Mytilus edulis: one gene and its partner. The protein of the gene in region 2 interacts with the protein of the main gene of each other region in a pairwise test. Links are inferred from orthologs where the notes say so. Each region holds a gene or a part of one and is shown on either strand. Other genes may lie near its edges. The genes, in order: high mobility group protein 20A-like and BRCA1-associated protein-like.

The links.
Region 1: the proteins of BRCA1-associated protein-like (region 2) and high mobility group protein 20A-like interact in a two-hybrid assay, tested with the Homo sapiens proteins (2 studies listed by BioGRID and IntAct). The link is inferred for Mytilus edulis from reciprocal best matches to the Homo sapiens genes BRAP and HMG20A.

What each region holds. Positions count from the first base shown.
Region 1 is NC_092345.1:104,506,902-104,515,887, forward strand, and holds the start of high mobility group protein 20A-like, read right to left. Parts: upstream 3,867-8,986; 5' UTR 3,718-3,866; intron 1-3,717. UniProt on the Homo sapiens protein: Plays a role in neuronal differentiation as chromatin-associated protein. Acts as inhibitor of HMG20B. Overcomes the repressive effects of the neuronal silencer REST and induces the activation of neuronal-specific genes.
Region 2 is NC_092349.1:84,998,854-85,008,119, forward strand, and holds the start of BRCA1-associated protein-like, read left to right. Parts: upstream 1-5,774; 5' UTR 5,775-5,915; coding exon 5,916-5,997; intron 5,998-8,243; coding exon 8,244-8,414; intron 8,415-9,266. Other genes in the region: DNA excision repair protein ERCC-6-like, read right to left, coding at 917-1,116, 1,772-1,808, 2,158-2,315, 2,960-3,026. UniProt on the Homo sapiens protein: Negatively regulates MAP kinase activation by limiting the formation of Raf/MEK complexes probably by inactivation of the KSR1 scaffold protein.

The DNA of each region.
Region 1 (8,986 bases), on a different chromosome or scaffold from region 2:
GCGTTGTTGTAAGGTAGGCCAATTTAAGGTATTGAGCATGTCTGTAACGCTACTGGTGTTGTGGTAACGATTGCAGGCATACCTAGCTGCCCGACGTTGAACCATCTCAAGTTTATTGCATTGTTCAGCAGTATGAGGGTTCCAAACCGAACAAGCATATTCTAGTTTTGGTCAGACAAGTGCTAGGTATGCCTGGGACTTAATGTTTGTGATTGATGTTTTTAGATTTCTTTTTAGAAATCCTAGACTTTTATTTGCATTGCCAATGATGTTGTTTGTGTGCTGGTTCCATTTTAGGTCAGATTGCAGTGTTATACCAAGATATTTAGCTGCGGAGACAGATTCTAGTGTATGACTGTGGAGAATGTAGTCTTTTTTAATTGTATTTTTCTTATTTGAGGCTGTGAGAACTGTACATTTGTCTGGATGGAAAGCCATCAGCCAGTCTTCTTCCCACTTTGCAGCAGCATCAAGATCTTCCTGAAGACTATCACAATCTTCTTTAGATTTGATGCTTTTGTAAATGATGCTGTCGTCGGCGAACAGTCTGAGTTTACTGGTTTTCAAATATTCTGGTAGGTCGTTTATGTAAACCAGGAATAGAACTGGACCCAGAACTGTTCCCTGTGGGACACCAGAAGTAACTGGAGCAACGTCTGATGACTCTCCATCCAGGACAACTGTGTGTGTGCGGTTTGATAAAAAGGCAGAGATCCAGTTAAGTGTTTCATTTTGTATTCCATAGAAGTGTAGTTTGTATAAGAGTCTTTGATGTGGGACTTTGTCAAAGGCTTTGGCAAAGTCCATAATTACAAGGTCTGTTTGGGTGTTATTGTCTGAATTTGAAGCCAGTTCTTGTATAAAAGATAGAAGTTGTGTTTCACATGATCTAGAGTGTCTGAAGCCGTGCTGGAGGTCGTATAATAAATTGTTTTTTTCTAAGTGATTAATTAAATGTTTTGTTATGACATGTTCCATTAGTTTGCAACTGATACAAGTGAGAGAGATTGGTCTGTAGTTAACTGCGTTGTATTTTTCACCTTTTTTGTATGCTGGTGCGACATTTGCATGTTTCCAGTCAGATGGTATACAGCCAGATGTAAGCGATTTCTGGAAAATAATGGTGAGGATAGGTGCCGTTATGTTTTGAAGTTGTTTTAGAACTCTGCCGCTGATGTTATCTGGGCCAGTGGCTTTGTGCGGATTGATGTTGTTTAAGAGTTTTTGTATGCCAGGTGTTGTAATTGTGAGTGATGGAATGACTGGATGAGGACTTGGTCCTTTATCAGGCATATTACTTGCTGTTTCGGTGGTAAAGACTGATTGGAATTGCTCATTTAAAATGTTGGCTTTTTGTTTTGTATCAGTTGTTAATTGTCCCTCTTTTTTCAGGGGAGCAACTCCACTATTGTCAGTTCTGATGGATTTAATGTAAGAAAAGAGTTTTTTCGGTTTTGATTGGTTGCTGTAACTTTGGTCAGGGTCATTTGTTGGAAGGTCAAGGATCATTTTTTCTATGTATGTACAATAGGCACGTCTCTGTTCTTGTTGGACTTGTTGTTTAAGTTTTTTATATTTAAGTATATGCTTTTTGTCCTTTTTCATTTTAGAGTACAATTTATTCTTTTTATTTATCATTTTTCTGAGTGTGTTGTGCACCCAGGGAAGTCGGTGTTTATATGTTAACATTTTATGTGGGATGTTTGTATCTATTGATTTTGTGATGTTGTTTTTAAATAAATCCCACATTTCGTTTATAGTACTGTTGTTGTTGTTATTCATAACAGTAAGCTCTTCGAGTGTTTTTTGAAGGTCTGCTTCTATGTTTTCCCAGTTCGCTTTGTCGTATTTGAGTATTTTTCTAGGTTGTTGTCTGATTTTACGAAGCCAAGTGTCAATTTCTATGTAGACGATGTCATGGTCACTTAGTCCTAGTGGTGGAAGTGTGTTTACTTTGTTAACAGTTGTTGGATTGTTAACTAGGATTAAGTCTAATATTCTTTCTTTTCTAGTTGGTGTATTAACTATTCGTTGAAGGTTAAAATTTTCTAGTAATTCTAAAAGTTTATTATGATGTTCAGCGTCCGGTTTACCCGGTATGACCTGAGGTATAGACCAGTCAATATGACCTAGGTTAAAGTCACCACCAATCATGATATTAGTATTTGATGATTGGTTGATTCTACTAAGTGATAGTTCTAGTTGTTGTAAAGATGTTCCTTTATCTGATGGTGGTCTGTAATATGCACCTATTAACAAGTTCTTACTACCAGTCATGTTTATTTGAGACCAAACTATTTCACAGTCAGTTTTAAGTTCGCTTACTTCTGTGCTTATAAGTTCTTTATTAATAGCAATAAGTACACCTCCATGACTTTGGTTATTTTTTTTTGGTGGTCTGTCTGATCTATAGACATTAAATAGTTCTGATGGAAAGAATTCATATGATGATATATTTTTGTCTAGCCATGTTTCAGTGCCTATGATTATATCAGGTTTAGATGAATCAATTAACTGATTGAGATCTTCTTTTTTATTTCGTATCGATTGAAAGTTTAGGTTAAGTATCCTGATAGGTTTTTGATTTTTAGTAGTGGCTTTTTGTGATGTTTTGACTTTCGGTTTTGATTTAGTCTTAACCATAGGCGATGAAGATGCCTGAGGAGCACCTAGGCTGTTATTGAGTGATGTATCACTCATACTCCAGTTACTACTAGAATTTAATGATATGCTTGATTGGTTATTGAATAAGCTAGTGGAGAAATTTGGCATTCCACAATTTGTGCATTCCCAGCTAATATTACTAGCATTCATACACTCGTAGATGTGAGATGGAATACTCTGACAGTTAATGTGAAACCAAGTATCGCAGCTGTCGCAGCATAGTGCCTTTTGATTCCAGGTTACTGCTTTTAGGCATGTACCACATGGCCATCGTGGTTTTTTGTTTTGACACTTTTGTTTGGTAACAGGTTTACTTTTTGGTTTAATATTTTTCTTTACAGCAAGTAAGTGGTGTTCATTATAAAAGGAGGGTAAAACCCTAACGTAACGGTACCCAAATTGCACCGAGTACCCAAATTGCACCTATTTAGCAAAAATAGCAGCGGAAATCTTACAAGATTTCATAGAGACTAAACAATTTGTATTTTTATGATTTGATACTAAGCACATCTTTCAGCAAGGGTAAAACTTTTAAGATATGCCCAAAACGTTCACAGTATTTATCAACAGATAAAGTGTTTACTGAAAAAGCAAAATGTACTGCGACGTCATCTTTTTAAAATGAGCAAATACAATATGTTACAAGTATCCATTTAAAAAAAAATGAAGATTAAGCAGGTACTAATATCCAATTGTTCGAAATATTTGAAGAAATTAAACAAAAGCTCTGTTATTAGACTTTTGACGATGTGAATTAAAGCATGGATGCAATTTGGGTACTCCTCATTTCAGAATCATTGCTGGTTTGGAGGTCAGTTTAGACCAGTTTTTCTATGCTTCCATATGGAATAAAAATCAAATTGGTGTACCTTTTTGATAAAGAAGGATACGGCTACAAAATAAACACAGAATAGACATTGTTGTCTTTATCATAAAAAAACGTAGATGAAAAAACTGTCAAAATAGGTGCAATTTGGGTACCGTCACGTTACATACATTCATGTTCAGAGCAACGCAAATATGCATGTCATATCAAATTCTAACAGTACATACCTTTTTATAATAAAGAAAATTACGTTCAAAAATAAAGTACGGGAACAAAATAAACAATGGCCAAAATGCTTTCTGAATAAAATTTTATGGTAAACCCCGAGACAACCCGAAAAAGGTACAACCAATGACAATTTAAATTTATAAAATGCAACGCACAAGAATGGCCTAGAAAAAAATGTTATCTCCCTTTTCCTTTATTATATGATTTCTTTAAAACATTTTTTCATATAAGAGATGCTAAAGTGAATTTCAGTGGTCCAGGATGACGCCCCCAAATGAGAGGCATTGAAAATGGTAATTTAGTTGATAGCATTTAAGTAAGATGCTGCAAGATGTATACATATATAAAAAAAAAAATCCCCCAACTTATGTCAATGTGAAATTTTGAAATAATAATTTGCCTTTATCACTCAGTATGGTTCAATTTGGTAAAAATAAACTAAGAAACATCATGATGAGTTATTCACTTGCAAGTGAAAAATTCGAGCTCATTGTATTTGTATTCATGCTGAGACTACTATGTGTTATAGAAGTCTCAGATTTGTGTGACCATCAATTAACACCATAGAAAGAGATGGATCACTATGAATTATGCATGTTAGTTATAAAAAGGAAAAGAATGTCAACATTGAAAGTGAAACTAAGGTAAACTATTTGTTTGACTGATTCCATCCCCCAAAACTCATTTTTATACAGGTAAAAATTATGATTAACACATTTTCTTAAACTTCAATGTGAAATTAAACAGACATACAAAAATCCAATTGTGACGAGTTCACTTTCTATTTATATCTAAATATATGTTTATATTGCTTATATGTCTTCAAAGGTCTTCAATAGTTAGATGGCCTCTAGACTAAAATACAAACAAAACTATGGTACATATTATTGAGCCCATGCCTTGTAAATTGTTTATTTTAGACTTTTCATAAATTGGATATATGTTTAAGAATGTTAAAAAGAATATGAGATTTTCAGTCAAATTCGTGAACTTGAAATTGACAGCCAATGCCCTTTTAATGTGTCGATCCAATATTCTTTGAAAAATTAGTGCATTTCACCCAAATATACTGTTATGTATTAGTCCAGTAAATTTTAATGAATAAAGTTTTTAAACATCTCATAAAAATTGAAATATTTGCTTACAGAAAATTCAAATGTTTGCTACCAGGGGTGGATTTTGGATTTTGAAAAAGGAAGAGCAGGCTTACAAAGCCAATGTATGGAGTGATAATTTTGAAAAGGTTTATACATTTATTATATAATCATGAACCTCCATAAGGGGGCCAGGCCACCTGCCCTCTTAAATCCCCCTAGCTACCTTCCTATTTTCAATAGACTGGTGTCGTTACGCTATGCCATGCTCTTAATCATTAGTAATTAGATAATGAAGGCAGGCTCAAAGGACAGCAACATCATAAACAGGAACACAGGATCTTTTTCAAATGCCAAGACAAAAATTTACTTTTGAAAGACTACATAATATTTTTATTTTGCTTCAAACTACAAATTGGCAAGTTGTTTATCAGCAACACCAGACAAAATTAATGATCAACAACAGCCTCTTTACAGTCTTTGTCATAAGAAAATATGTATTAAGCTTAAAAAAAAATTAAGGACAATTTATGAACTTAATAGCTTTATAATTGATGTAAGGTTATTGTATATAGTGAAAGTGACATTTGTTGATAAAGAGTTAATGCGTATAGAGAAATGTAAAAGATGTTTTAAAGATAATGGTGAAGTAATGTCTTTAAAACCTTTATGAATACCAAAAGCAATTTGTTGTAATGAATTCTTATGGCTGACTGTGTATTTGTCTAGCTTTTACTGCCTATAATGTTATTTATGTTTCTGTGTAAAGTTTTGTTTATGATAGAGTGGGGTGCTCATTTTCGCCATATCTTTCGATGTTTTCTACAGTTTATGTTCAGGTCTATATGTTTTTGAAGTATACTGATATTTCTATATGAAGATAACTTCAAATGCAAAACATTCCTAAGCTTGAAAACATGTTTGTTTGAAAATAATCATCTGTAAAGTTAGATTAAAAGGTGTTTGAAATTTCCTGAAGTTTTGTCAATGGGGGACACATATTCGCCGTTTTTACACATCTATTTAAAACCAAAAAACTGCAGCTTTATATAATATTCATCATATAAATTTCATTATAGATGAACAGCAGACATTTCAAAGGTGTAAAAAAACAGAAATTTAGGCCAATCAGTCAAAAAAATGCTAAGAAAAAAATCTTTGAAAATCCTGTTTTTCATTCAGGAAATTGACCGAAAATCGTTGTCTGTTTTTCTATCTTTTGCAGTAAGTGTTGTAATTTTGTTTAAGTTTAAAAAATAATCATATTTGTTATAAAATTATAATTTATCGGCATAATTCTTCCATTTCAGCCATCATGTGAAGTGTTAACACCTCAAAATCATAAAACGGTGAAATTGTGTCCCCGGCGAATATGGGCCCCCCACTCTAGTGTTTTTGTCTTTTTTCTACTGGCTATGGTATTGTCCGTGTAGTAATGTTTCTTCTTTAACTGATCTTTTTTAATTGGTTTCTTTTCATCTTTGCAATTATACTGTGAGCTTATTTCATCTTTACTTTTGTAGCTGTTATACAAATTGATTTAAACAAAGTCAAATTTATCTTAAAATATCATTTATTGTAAATAATTCATTAAAATAATTCTTTAATCATTTAAAGCAATAAATCAAATAAATATTATAGAAATAAAATATCACATTTATTAGTCTTTCAGTAATATTGTTTACAATATAATATCACTTCGGGTCAGACAACATATTTAAGGTTTAACCAATTTTCTACAAGTTGAATTATAAGAGAATGTTTTTAACATGTTTGATAAGTATTATTGGCACAAAAACAGAAAGATTAATACACATTTGTTTAAAGCACTACAACTGAAGTTCACAATTACAATACACAAAATGTTAAATTAATAGCATAAAATCATATCTGTGGTACTAACAGTTATATGGATTTTGAGATTGACATTAACGAGAATTTTAGAAAACAACATAATCCTGTATCCAGGACGATTCCATTTTTTTTTTTAATTTAAGAAAGCTGGTATTAACGAAAATAAAATATTTTCTAATTTCTTGACAATAAAAGACCTGTAACTCTGCAAAACACATCTAAAAAGACATCAAAGCAAGCCTGAATACCATACTCCCAAAATAGTGATAATGAAAATTATAAAATCAATGCATATAGATTTTCACTTTTTGAGGAAAACATAGTATATTTCATTTAAAGCATTTTGATATGATCCCCTTGCTCTTTGTTTTGTAAATTTAAATACACATGGATAACTTTTAGCCCTCGAGTTAACCAAGGTCATATTAAGATTATTCAGCAGTATGTTGTTCAGCAGTAATCAAAATATACAAATATATATAAATATAAAACATCATATATATAACCTAAGTTAAGAAATACATATAATCATGGGCAGTCACTCTGTCACAAATGTAACAGATTTCAAGTACAAACATTAAACTAAAAAAAATAAACAAAAGGTTGCAAATCTTGTTGTGCTAGCTATACTCCTATTGTAGTTCAGAGTATCAAAAAAGAACAAGCAGATAGTTTTCTGACAGATACAATAAGCAAATGAGAAATGCCTGTTGCTCAACAAAGAAATGTATGACAAAATATTTTAATTCATTTATCACATTGAATATAGGTCAACAAAAAGGGTGTGTCTAACACATCCAAACAAACAGCTGTGCCAAGAACCAATGATATGCCTTGATAATGCATATCGAAAGCTCTGTGGAAAAACATGTCTTTCAAATTGAACAGTTTGTTATGTTTACCAATTCCAATAATTATGTAGTCATTGTACAGACATATCAAACATATTTTCTGGTCAAACAGAGGAACAAGGTGATTGCAAATTGAGTGGGGTTTAATATAAAAGACAATCAAGGGCTATAACAATTTCTTTGTTAAACATTCTATCATTATACATATTAAAAAATAAATAAGTATTTTATGGACGGACATCCAATAACAAATTGAACCATGACACAGAATTTTATTGATGACATAAGGCTATCAGATACACACATTCTATAATAAATAAAACAATATTATAGACAGAAAATATCTAAAGACATATATTTTTCGTGCAAACTTGACTTCACCATCAAAATATAAAACTTAAGCATGGTAAGAACAGTGTATATTTCAAGAAAGTCAGAACAAAGATGTGTGGTCAACATACTTATATCATGTTTTCTTTTTTGTCAGAAACAGTTTCAGATAGGAATAAACTAATTGAAATTAATAGACATATAATTTTATAAAGTATCTTTTAAATACAGGAAGACAATTGGATGAATAAAATATAAGATACTTGCTGGATTAATAGGAACCCAGTCATTCCTTAAAGATGAGTCTTCTTAAAATGGCAGACAATTTGTAATGAGCACATCCATGAATGATCATACAAGCAAATGAATGAAACAACTGAAAAAAACATCACTAAATCATGCTTCTCTAAGCAGGGGAATAATAAAGACAACATCAGAACTTTATTATACCTTTTAAAAAAGTAATGATTTTTTTTTAGAATTTGAATACAAACCCATCCTTCCTTCTTGTGCACCCCTTTCCCAAAATCATACAAATTGCAGTATTTCAAATTGATACAATTTAAAAAAATATTTAAATAAACTCTGCTAGTAAAAATATCTTTACACAGGTATAAGTTCTGATAATTCTACCAATAAAGAGTATCAATATCTCAATACATTACTCTTAAGTTTACAAGGTTTTTTATTACATATTTAGCACAAAGTGTACACATGGAGGAAATATTGGACGTAAATTGAAAAAATCTTTACAATATCATGTACAGTGGTTGACTTTAATGGAGGTTGAGGATTTGATTATCAAACTTCAGAGATGAAAATACACATGAATCAATTATCCTTAAACATGATCAACTAAATTTTTATTTTAAAGAAAATCAATGATGTGAAAAATTATTTTTTATTTCTTGTAAGTCTTGCAATGTTCAGAAAATAAAAAGGTTATTTATCAATTAATCAAAAAAAAACTTTCTTCCATCAATAAAATTGAGAATGGAAATGTGGATTGTGTCAAAGAGACAACAACATGACCATAGAGCAGACAACAACAGAAGGTCACCAACAGGTCTTCAATGCAGCGAAAAAATCCAGCACTCTGAGGTGTCCTTCAGCTGGCCCCTAAACAAATATATATACTA
Region 2 (9,266 bases):
ATAAACAATCTGCATTTCTTGTAAACTTCACTTAAAGATGGTAACCATGTATATACTTTATAAGAAATTATGCTATCTGAAACCTTTAAAATTTTAAAGGACATGCAATGTCATAAAGCAAATAACAAACTAGTGACAGACTGAGTACCACTTTATGATTTAGTACAAATGTATCGACATTATTGAGAAAAATAAATTCAACAATATTCAGCTTTATTTACATGTATCCCTTAAAATCATGATCTTGTCATGAATTTAAAGAACTTTGTCTTCTTATCAAAAGTTTGTCATACTATGTAGTGGGTTACTGCATGTGATCTAGAGTGCTGTCATTTGGGACATTTCAATTAGCGGTAGATTTGAATAACCTTATACTACAGTTACAACATAAGACATCATTAAATATGTTCAACAGATATTTTTCTTGGTTGAATAAAAATAATTTAACAGAACAAAAGAAACGTATTAACATACTTCAAACGGCTAGATAATGAGTCATTCCCAAGAAACAATTTTTAAGCTAAAAAATGTGTTTCCATTTCTGTGTAAAACTATTTACTTAATACAATTTGAATGACTCACAAAGATCTGTGTTCTCATTTCATTTTAGGGACTAAAAGTGATACATCTAAAAACAATTTACAGCAGTTGTCATTTGTTTATGTAATTTATACGTTTCTCGTTTGTTTTATTTTATATAGATTAGACCGTTGGTTTTCCCATTTGAATGGTTTTACACTAGTAATTTTGGGGCCCTTTATAGCTTGTTGTTAGGTGTGAGCCAAGGCTCCATGTTGAAGGCCGTACATTGACCTGTAATGGTTTACTTTTTTTAAATTGTCATTTGGATGGAGAGTTGTCTCATTGGCACTCACACCACATCTTCCTATATCTATATAGGACTTTATTTCAATACCTCCATTTTAGTAATTTTCCTGGCCAGTTTTTCATTGTGATGTATCTTTAATGCTTCCTTGTTTAAGTCTAAAGCCTCTTTGATGTTACCCTGCTCCACCATGTTCCTAGCACCAGATATCATCTGATTGTAGATCTCTTCGTCCTCTTCAGACAGGTTCTCACCAGGAGTGTCTGTAGAACTTGACCTTGACCTGTCTCCTTTAATATAAGTAAAAATGTCAATCAGAGTCATACCAAAACTAGTTTTAATAATGTCTGGTGTATATTGTATGTCATAGTTGTAAATATTTGCATTCCCAATAAATATTAATTTAAATACACCATTTCAGAAACCCCATATGAACCGCATTATATGTACTTCTACACTTATTTCCTATCATTAAATTGTTCTGTAGACGCCATTCTAAGTGGTGAAACATGTAGACCATAATAAAGCATTTCCTTGCAGTAATTCAGGATTTTTTTGTCTTTTTAAAGTAATAAATACACCATTGTTTGATAAAAAAAATAATAAGTGTTGTGAATCTTTTTAGTTTTAATTGTGCAAAATTCATTTCTTTTATTTTGTTGTAAAAAATTAACCATCTCCATAAAACCACACACATTTAAGTGCATGCTACAACAATCCAATGCACTAATAACTTTATCATTTAGTTATATTTATAAGTAATCTAACATATATATGAAAAGTAATATATTGTTTTCATTTTTAAAAGCTCATGATTGTTCTTTAAACTCATATACAGATTGTAATTATAATAACTGGGGGCAAGTGATAGACTTTTCTAGAACCAAAAACTTTATTTTAAAGGTCAAGGTGCAGATAAGAAGAGGGTTAAATCACTATAGTTACCTGTATCTCCATCTTCACCTGTTTCTTTAAGGTAGGCCTGGAAAAACATCAAAATGTTATTCAATTAAATCTTTAAATATTATAAAATATTTTTATACAATGTAAGATGATTTCTGACCAACAAAATACCAGGTAAATAAGCTTAAGTCTAGTCAACATTAAATGTAACACAAGTATTAATGTTATCATCTTCAGAAATGCTTTCAGAGCTGATCGATTCTATTCCAAGAGACAAAAATAACATCAAGGGAAAATAAGAAACATATCAAGAGATTTAAACAGCAAAATAATTCACTATTTTCAATAGGTTTATAAAGGAATGTAACTGGATTTACTGACAGCTTCAAAATACTTCTTAGTAAACACAGAGTCTGTCCAACACATACCTCCATCTTTGCGATCTTTTTGGCTAGTTTTTCATGGTAGTGCATCTGAAGTGCCTGTCTGTATAAATCTAAGGCCTCCTTTATTTTCCTTTCTGCTGTTAATTGTTTAGCATTTGTGATCAACTCTGTAAATATTTCCTGTTCTTCTTGACTCATTTCTGGAAAATGAAAAAAAAAGCTTATCCCTTATTCCCATGATTTTCACAGATATAGAGTTGTGCTTTTTTTTAAATTCTTTTTGTAAATGTACATTCTTTTAAGCACCTCTTGTTATACAACTTAAATTTGTAAAGTGGAGAGTTGAGTCAATAAAAAGAAAGTTTAACAATGTCACTTACTGACTTAGTAATGTGCCTTCATCAGTCATTAGTCAGGAATTCTTTTTGTTTATTGCCCTTCCAGAAATTTTGTATTATACACCTTTGAACGTCTCTATTAAATGTGTTCAGAATCTGCCAAGACTGAGGTAATTTAAAGCTTGACATAATTTGGTATTATAGGTATATAAACTGTTGAGAGAATATTTGGGAAATAGTACATAAAATATTAATTGTTGTTTCATTATTAGTATTTGAACACAGACATGCTATTATGTGTTATTGGGAAAAATTATAGAATGTATTGCTTTCCATTAAAAAAAATCTATTTGTTTTCTAATTTCTGAGAGAACAGTTTGAAAGTATTGAATGCTAATTTTGAAAATACTTGATGCCAGATTGTGGAAAACAAAGATTAAACAATTTAAATCCTGACATGGCTAACATAGACAGATATATGATACACATAATACATGTTAAACTACCTTTAGTATCCTGTGATATTGTTACTTTTGATAAACCATCCCCTGTTTCTTGTACTTCCTGGTCCATTATTCTAAAATATCAAAAATTCATATTTAATGTTGAGCCATTTGTTTTGAGGACATGTGGTATAATGAATAAAGGTTATTATAGTCATAAAAATTTATTTTTTCAGAAAAAATACAGGCATACGACAGGTTTTGAACACCAGCTATTTTCATATAGGTTAATCAAGTAAAAGTAAACTTATACTCTGCCAATCTCTGGTAAGGTTTTAACAGTAACTGTGAAGTAGATAACTTGAACACAATTAATATACACTCCTTTGACTTTGTAATAAATTTCACATTCATTTGTAAATTGTAGTCAAATTTAATGACGCTTTTTCTGGCATATTTTCTGGCATACAAATGTATATATCTAGATAATAAAACCTTATTACCATAGCTCCACTGGAAATAATCTTAGATGCATGATTTTTTTATTATTTGGGTAGTTCTTATACTACCCTATTATCACGACAAAGATTGAAGTCCAAATAATTATGAAGTCATATTAATGTGTCACTGAAAAAATTTAAGTAGCCTTTGAAAACATCATAATTATCAGTCAAGGGTTTAACTTAAATAAGTTATCAGAGAAAAATAACATGCATGTGTTATTACAGACACTTTCATGAGTTGTCTACTCTTTTTTCTGTTATCTGTAATAACATATTTTTATTATTCGTTAAATAAATCATAAATATTTAATGTGTAATGAGCACTTGGGAATTCTTAAAACTTTGCGCAGTAGCTTAATATATTACCTTGATAACTAATTTTATAATTCCATTAAAACAATTTTGATCAACCATGTTAAACCAATGAGACAAGGCTTTTAAGGACAAACTAAGCTGTAATAAAATTGTTGAAGGCCGTACAGTGACCTATAGTTGTTAATGTCCGCATCATTTTGGTCACTTGTGGACAGTTGTCTCATTGGCAATCATACCACATTTTCTTTTTTTGTATTAGTTATTACAAGCATGTAACTTACTATATGAGAGTAAATGAGACACTTGGAATCTGGTGCAGTGCCTCATTACAAGCTCTGATCATCATTTCTTACAATGAATTGAAATACATTGTTATGCAAGTTAGAGCAAAGCCTTTAAAGAGATATAGAAGAATATATTTTCTGTAATAACATAGGTGTACTATGCATGATTGGTAAACTATGAGCTGTTATATCTTTGCAAAGATAAGTACACTTAAAGAAAATTATAATATCAATAGAACTACAGAAAAATTTAACAAAATAAAGGTTGTATATTTTCCCTTTGAAACATGTAACATACATGTTATCACAGTTTTTTGATATTTTAGCCGACAATAACAACATGTATGTTATTTTTCTCTAATAACTTATTTAAGTTAGACCCTTGACTGATTATGTAACCGGAGAGCATGAATTTCATTACAAATTGTTTGTCTCCATTGGGACTCAATCCCAGGACTTAGAACTGTGTTACAAGACAGCATGTTAACCGACAGAGCTAAAGAAAAACTTCCTTTAGCTAAACTGCTTACATCTGACTAAGTATCTACCACATTTGTTAAGGGAAAGCATTTCCCCCATCTCAAAAGACATCATACCATTATGACTTTGACAACACATACCCTAGCTAGAATTCCTTTCTAACCACCATGGGTTTTGTAGTTGGGGACCAATGTAACTTGAATGCATGAATTTCATTACAAAATTGTTTATTTCCTCAAGGACTCAAATCCGGGACCTAGGTGTTACAAGGCAGCTTGTTAACCGACTGAGCGAAAGAAGTACTTCCTTAGCTCAACTGTTTCCGGCTGACTAAGTACATGTAATGATGTATCTACCACATTTTCTAAGGGAAGCAATCCCGTCACAAATACTTAGACAAGTATTCGGAAAGTATAATTTTCATAAATCATTCCATCAAATGTTAAAATACAACTTACAAGCAAGGACCAAAACTCATGAAGTGGGTCTCATTGGGGTCTAAGCGTGATGCAGAATTGCTGATTTTTTGTAAACATCGTAAACGTGAAAGTCAAAATTATTGTGCTATGAAAAGAGGAAATGAAGTCTAGCAGGAAATGGGAAATTACAAATAAATGAGAATTGCTTACGTACATATTGAAGTTGGATACTGGAATCTGACGAAACAGTAAGCGGGAACCGTGATCCGAACCCCCGTGTCTGGCCATCGATGAACTCCCCAATCAATTAAATTTGGAAGGTCTGAAAGTAAGTTGGCTTAAATAGGGCATATATGAACTAATGCTTTTGATATTTTTCATTAGAAATCTGCCATTACGAAGATGTTCTTGCTCATTTACTGATTTAGTAAAAAAATATTTTTTATGTCTCAACTCATTTTTATTTTATTTTATTTTTTTAGACAAATGGGTGAATGACAGCAGTCATAAAGGTGCTTACTCTATAGATTTTGCGTTGAGTGTATATGGATTTAATATGTCTGGTTGATTAAAACAAATTTTAGCAAAAGTATTTGCGCCAGACTGATATTCACATTTTCTGATGTTATTTTTCGTTTTTGAAAGTTCCGCCAACAGGAAGTGACGTATTCTAATCCTTGTTTTGGTCGAAATCAAGTTGATTTATCGTACAAACAAGTTTTGCATGATGGTTATTGCTTTTATATAGACACAAACATTAACAGGCGAATAAAACAAAACACTAGTCCCATATATTATCAAGAATGACCAATAAACTTTACTACAGGAATGTGAGTTAAATATCCGGAAATATATTTTCCGTCATTGTTTTTCTTACAGGTGCTCTCTTTTTTTAAAGTTAAAAAAGTAATATTCTTGGAAAAAAATAAAAATAAGAAGGATTTGTTCTGACAAGGACTTTGATAGTCCTACTAAAAAAATCCCATGATTCTAACATTCAGATTTTAATGAATTTCACATGTCTGAATCAATCTCTTTGTGTATTCTGAGGCTTGAAATAGAAAATGATCACGAAATTCCAAAATCTTTCAGTTACTGTGGTAAGCTAATGTTCATAAAATAACTGAATATTTAAAGAAGTAAAAAAATCTGTCCCACATTTGATATGAAATTGACTGTAGGCTTCCATGTCTTTGTATCCAATATATGTAAAAAAAATTTTAGAAGAAGTGGTATGGTTACCAATGTCTATGGGACAACTCTCCAAAAGAGACCAAATGACAGAAATTAACAACTATAGGTCACCATACGGCCTTCAACAATGATCAAAGCCCAAACCACAGAGTCGGCTATGAAGGGCCTGAAATGACAATGTAAAACAATCCAAATAGGGAAAAACTTAAGGGCAGATTTTATGTACAGAAAATGAATGAAAAAACAAATATGTACATGTAACACATACACAAATGACAACCACTGAATTACAGGCTCCTGACTTGAGACAGGCACATACATGTCGCGAGGTTAAACATGTAAGCGGGATCCCAAAACTTCCTCTAACCTGGGACAGTGGGACATGTATACCAGTACAATATAAGAACGAACTGAAAAAAATCAGTTGAAAAATGCTTAACTCATCAAATAGATCAAAATACAAATCAGTTCCAAATTCCAGCAATACTACTTCTATTTGTCTGCATTACTGGACATCACAAAGGTTCCTGTAAAATTCTTAAATCTTAAACGAAAATGGCTGACATCACAAAGGAAAAGTGATTGTTTTATGAAGTCATTAGTTCTTCAAGTGCTGCAGATTCTCAACTAGTAAAATAATGATCTATTGCTAAAATGTATCTTTTACAGACCTGCCAACTATCCCAATTGTCATGCTTTAATCCTTACCCTGATAACGGGATTGTAAAACAAGTCAAAATCTTGAGTTTTACAGGATCTTCACAAAATTTAAAAATTTGTTGGTAACTGATTTTGAAGTATCTGACCAATCTATAAGTTTATTTATGACAAGTTAATCAATAGTAAAAGGTTGAAGACCTGGATCTTTCATACTTTGCATATACATGTAAATTGTTGTCAGTTTCCCTATCAAATGTCTGTTTTTTTCTCCAGGCAACTTAAAAGTGGTGTTTAACACACCAACAATCAATCATTTTCATTGTTCATTATTCAATGTTAAGTTTTCCTGGTTAAGTTCGTTTCTAAGAAAAAATAAACAATAGGTCAACTTATTTGGGAAAATGTTTGGTGTATGGAATGATTGTAAGGCTATATTGTTGCTGGAGCAATGATGATTTAAGTTACCAAAGAATTTTGAAAATTGTTAAATCTTGTAGGCTAATACACCTTATCGCTAATCCTGGCTGGCCCGGCCACTTGAAGTTTTGACGTCAACAACAGTCACTTTTCCATTATGGCGTCAGATCTTTTGTTTTATGACGTCAACATTTTACGGGAACCTGTGCGTGTCCAGCAATGGCGGACAAATAGCGATAAGGTGTTTACAACTTACTTTATAGCAAAGTTAGATCGCTATCAAAATTGGTATAAGGGAGACAACTTGTAATTTACAAGGCTATATATATCGGGATTGGGTGTTTTTAAGCTCCTGATTTTGGGATTGATCCTTACGTGATCCGGGGATATATTTTTCGAATTCGGGATATGAAGTTTCTTTAAATTCTGCATCTCGGGATTTCATGGTTTTAAGCCCGGTATTTCGGGATTAGGACAACTCCGACCACCCCTCAAATTAGCCTTATAGTCGGTCTTGGTCATTTATACAAGATTCATATCCTACCATTGACAGGTTAATAAGGCTCTCAAAAGAAAAAGCACTGATGGATTGTCCTAGAAGCATATTTTATTAGACTAATAATGGTCTATATATAAACAGTTACATTTATTTCATGTTTGAAACGGTGCAAATTTTTAATTTGATTTGACTTTTACCAAAAGAAGCATTGTAGCAAAGGAGAAGAATAATTGTGGTCTGAGGCCAGAAACACGAAATAATTGAATTTAACAGAAAGGAAACAAATATCGGACTTTGGAAAAAGGGAGAGAGCTTTTCATACCTTTTATGAAATTCTCCATACATAATATCTTTGACAAAAAATTATCCTACAATAGTTCACAAGCTGTATATGCCCGCGATTTCGCGGGTGTGCTCTAGTATATATAAACAGATGTCTAGTTTTGATGGACTTCTGCTGGCAGATTACAATACAGATCTCCATGTCTTACAACCTATAGAAACAGAATATGATTTTGTATTTAAGCACATGATATCCACATCTTGTAGATTAAGAATCTGATGTTTGTATTTCAGCATCAGATCTCCATAGTGCTAATATAAAATCTAGGGATACAGCATCATATGCTTCAGTTGTAAAAACATCAGGACCAAGTTCTAGTGAAGAAAAGTCGCCTGTAGAGTTGAACCTCACTTGTAGAGGACAGCGTGGGTTTGGTGACTTCACAATAGAATCTTATTTCTCAGGTAAATTGTATAAAACAAATACTTGCATAGTTGTCATGGTTGTAGGCGAAATTGACTGTTCTGAGAAGTCACATTGGATGGTATTTTATCTGATACCATGGATACTTGTAAATCAAAAATTTTCAAATGTATTTTATCATGTTTATTGCAGTTAATAGTGTTTCATTTAGTAACCATAAGTGAAGTTTTTTTTTTATGATATTTATTAGTACGGTAGTTATAAATTTGTGTCTCAAATAATGCAACAAATGGATGTAACCCATTTTTACACAACAACAAATGAATGTAACCTGTTTTTACAAAACAACAAATGAATGTAACCCATTTTTACACAACAAATGAATGTAACTCATTTTTACACAACAACAAATGAATGTAAACCATTTTAACACAACAACAAATGAATGTAACCTGTTTTTACACAACAACAAATGAATGCAACCCATTTTTACACAACAAATGAATGTAACTCATTTTTACACAACAACAAATGAATGTAAACCATTTTAACACAACAACAAATGAATGTAACCCATTTTTACACAACAACAAATTAGGAAGGTTGTATTATGTTTATGGTGTGTTGTTTGTTGTTATCTTCAATATGGAACTTTATCTGCCCTTTTTCACAAAGCCTTTCAAAAAAGTTGACAATTGGTATTGATGTTTAGGACTGTACGTGGCTTTAACTGTTTCTTAGAAAAGGGGCAAAAGGAGTTTTAAGAGTTTTCACTCTATATACATGTATACAAACATGTATATTTATCCTTAATAAAAAAAAAATCATCAGCTTTATAATAATTGAATTGATTTTGGCATACATCTTCAGGTTTCTAAGGTATGTGAGTTTCA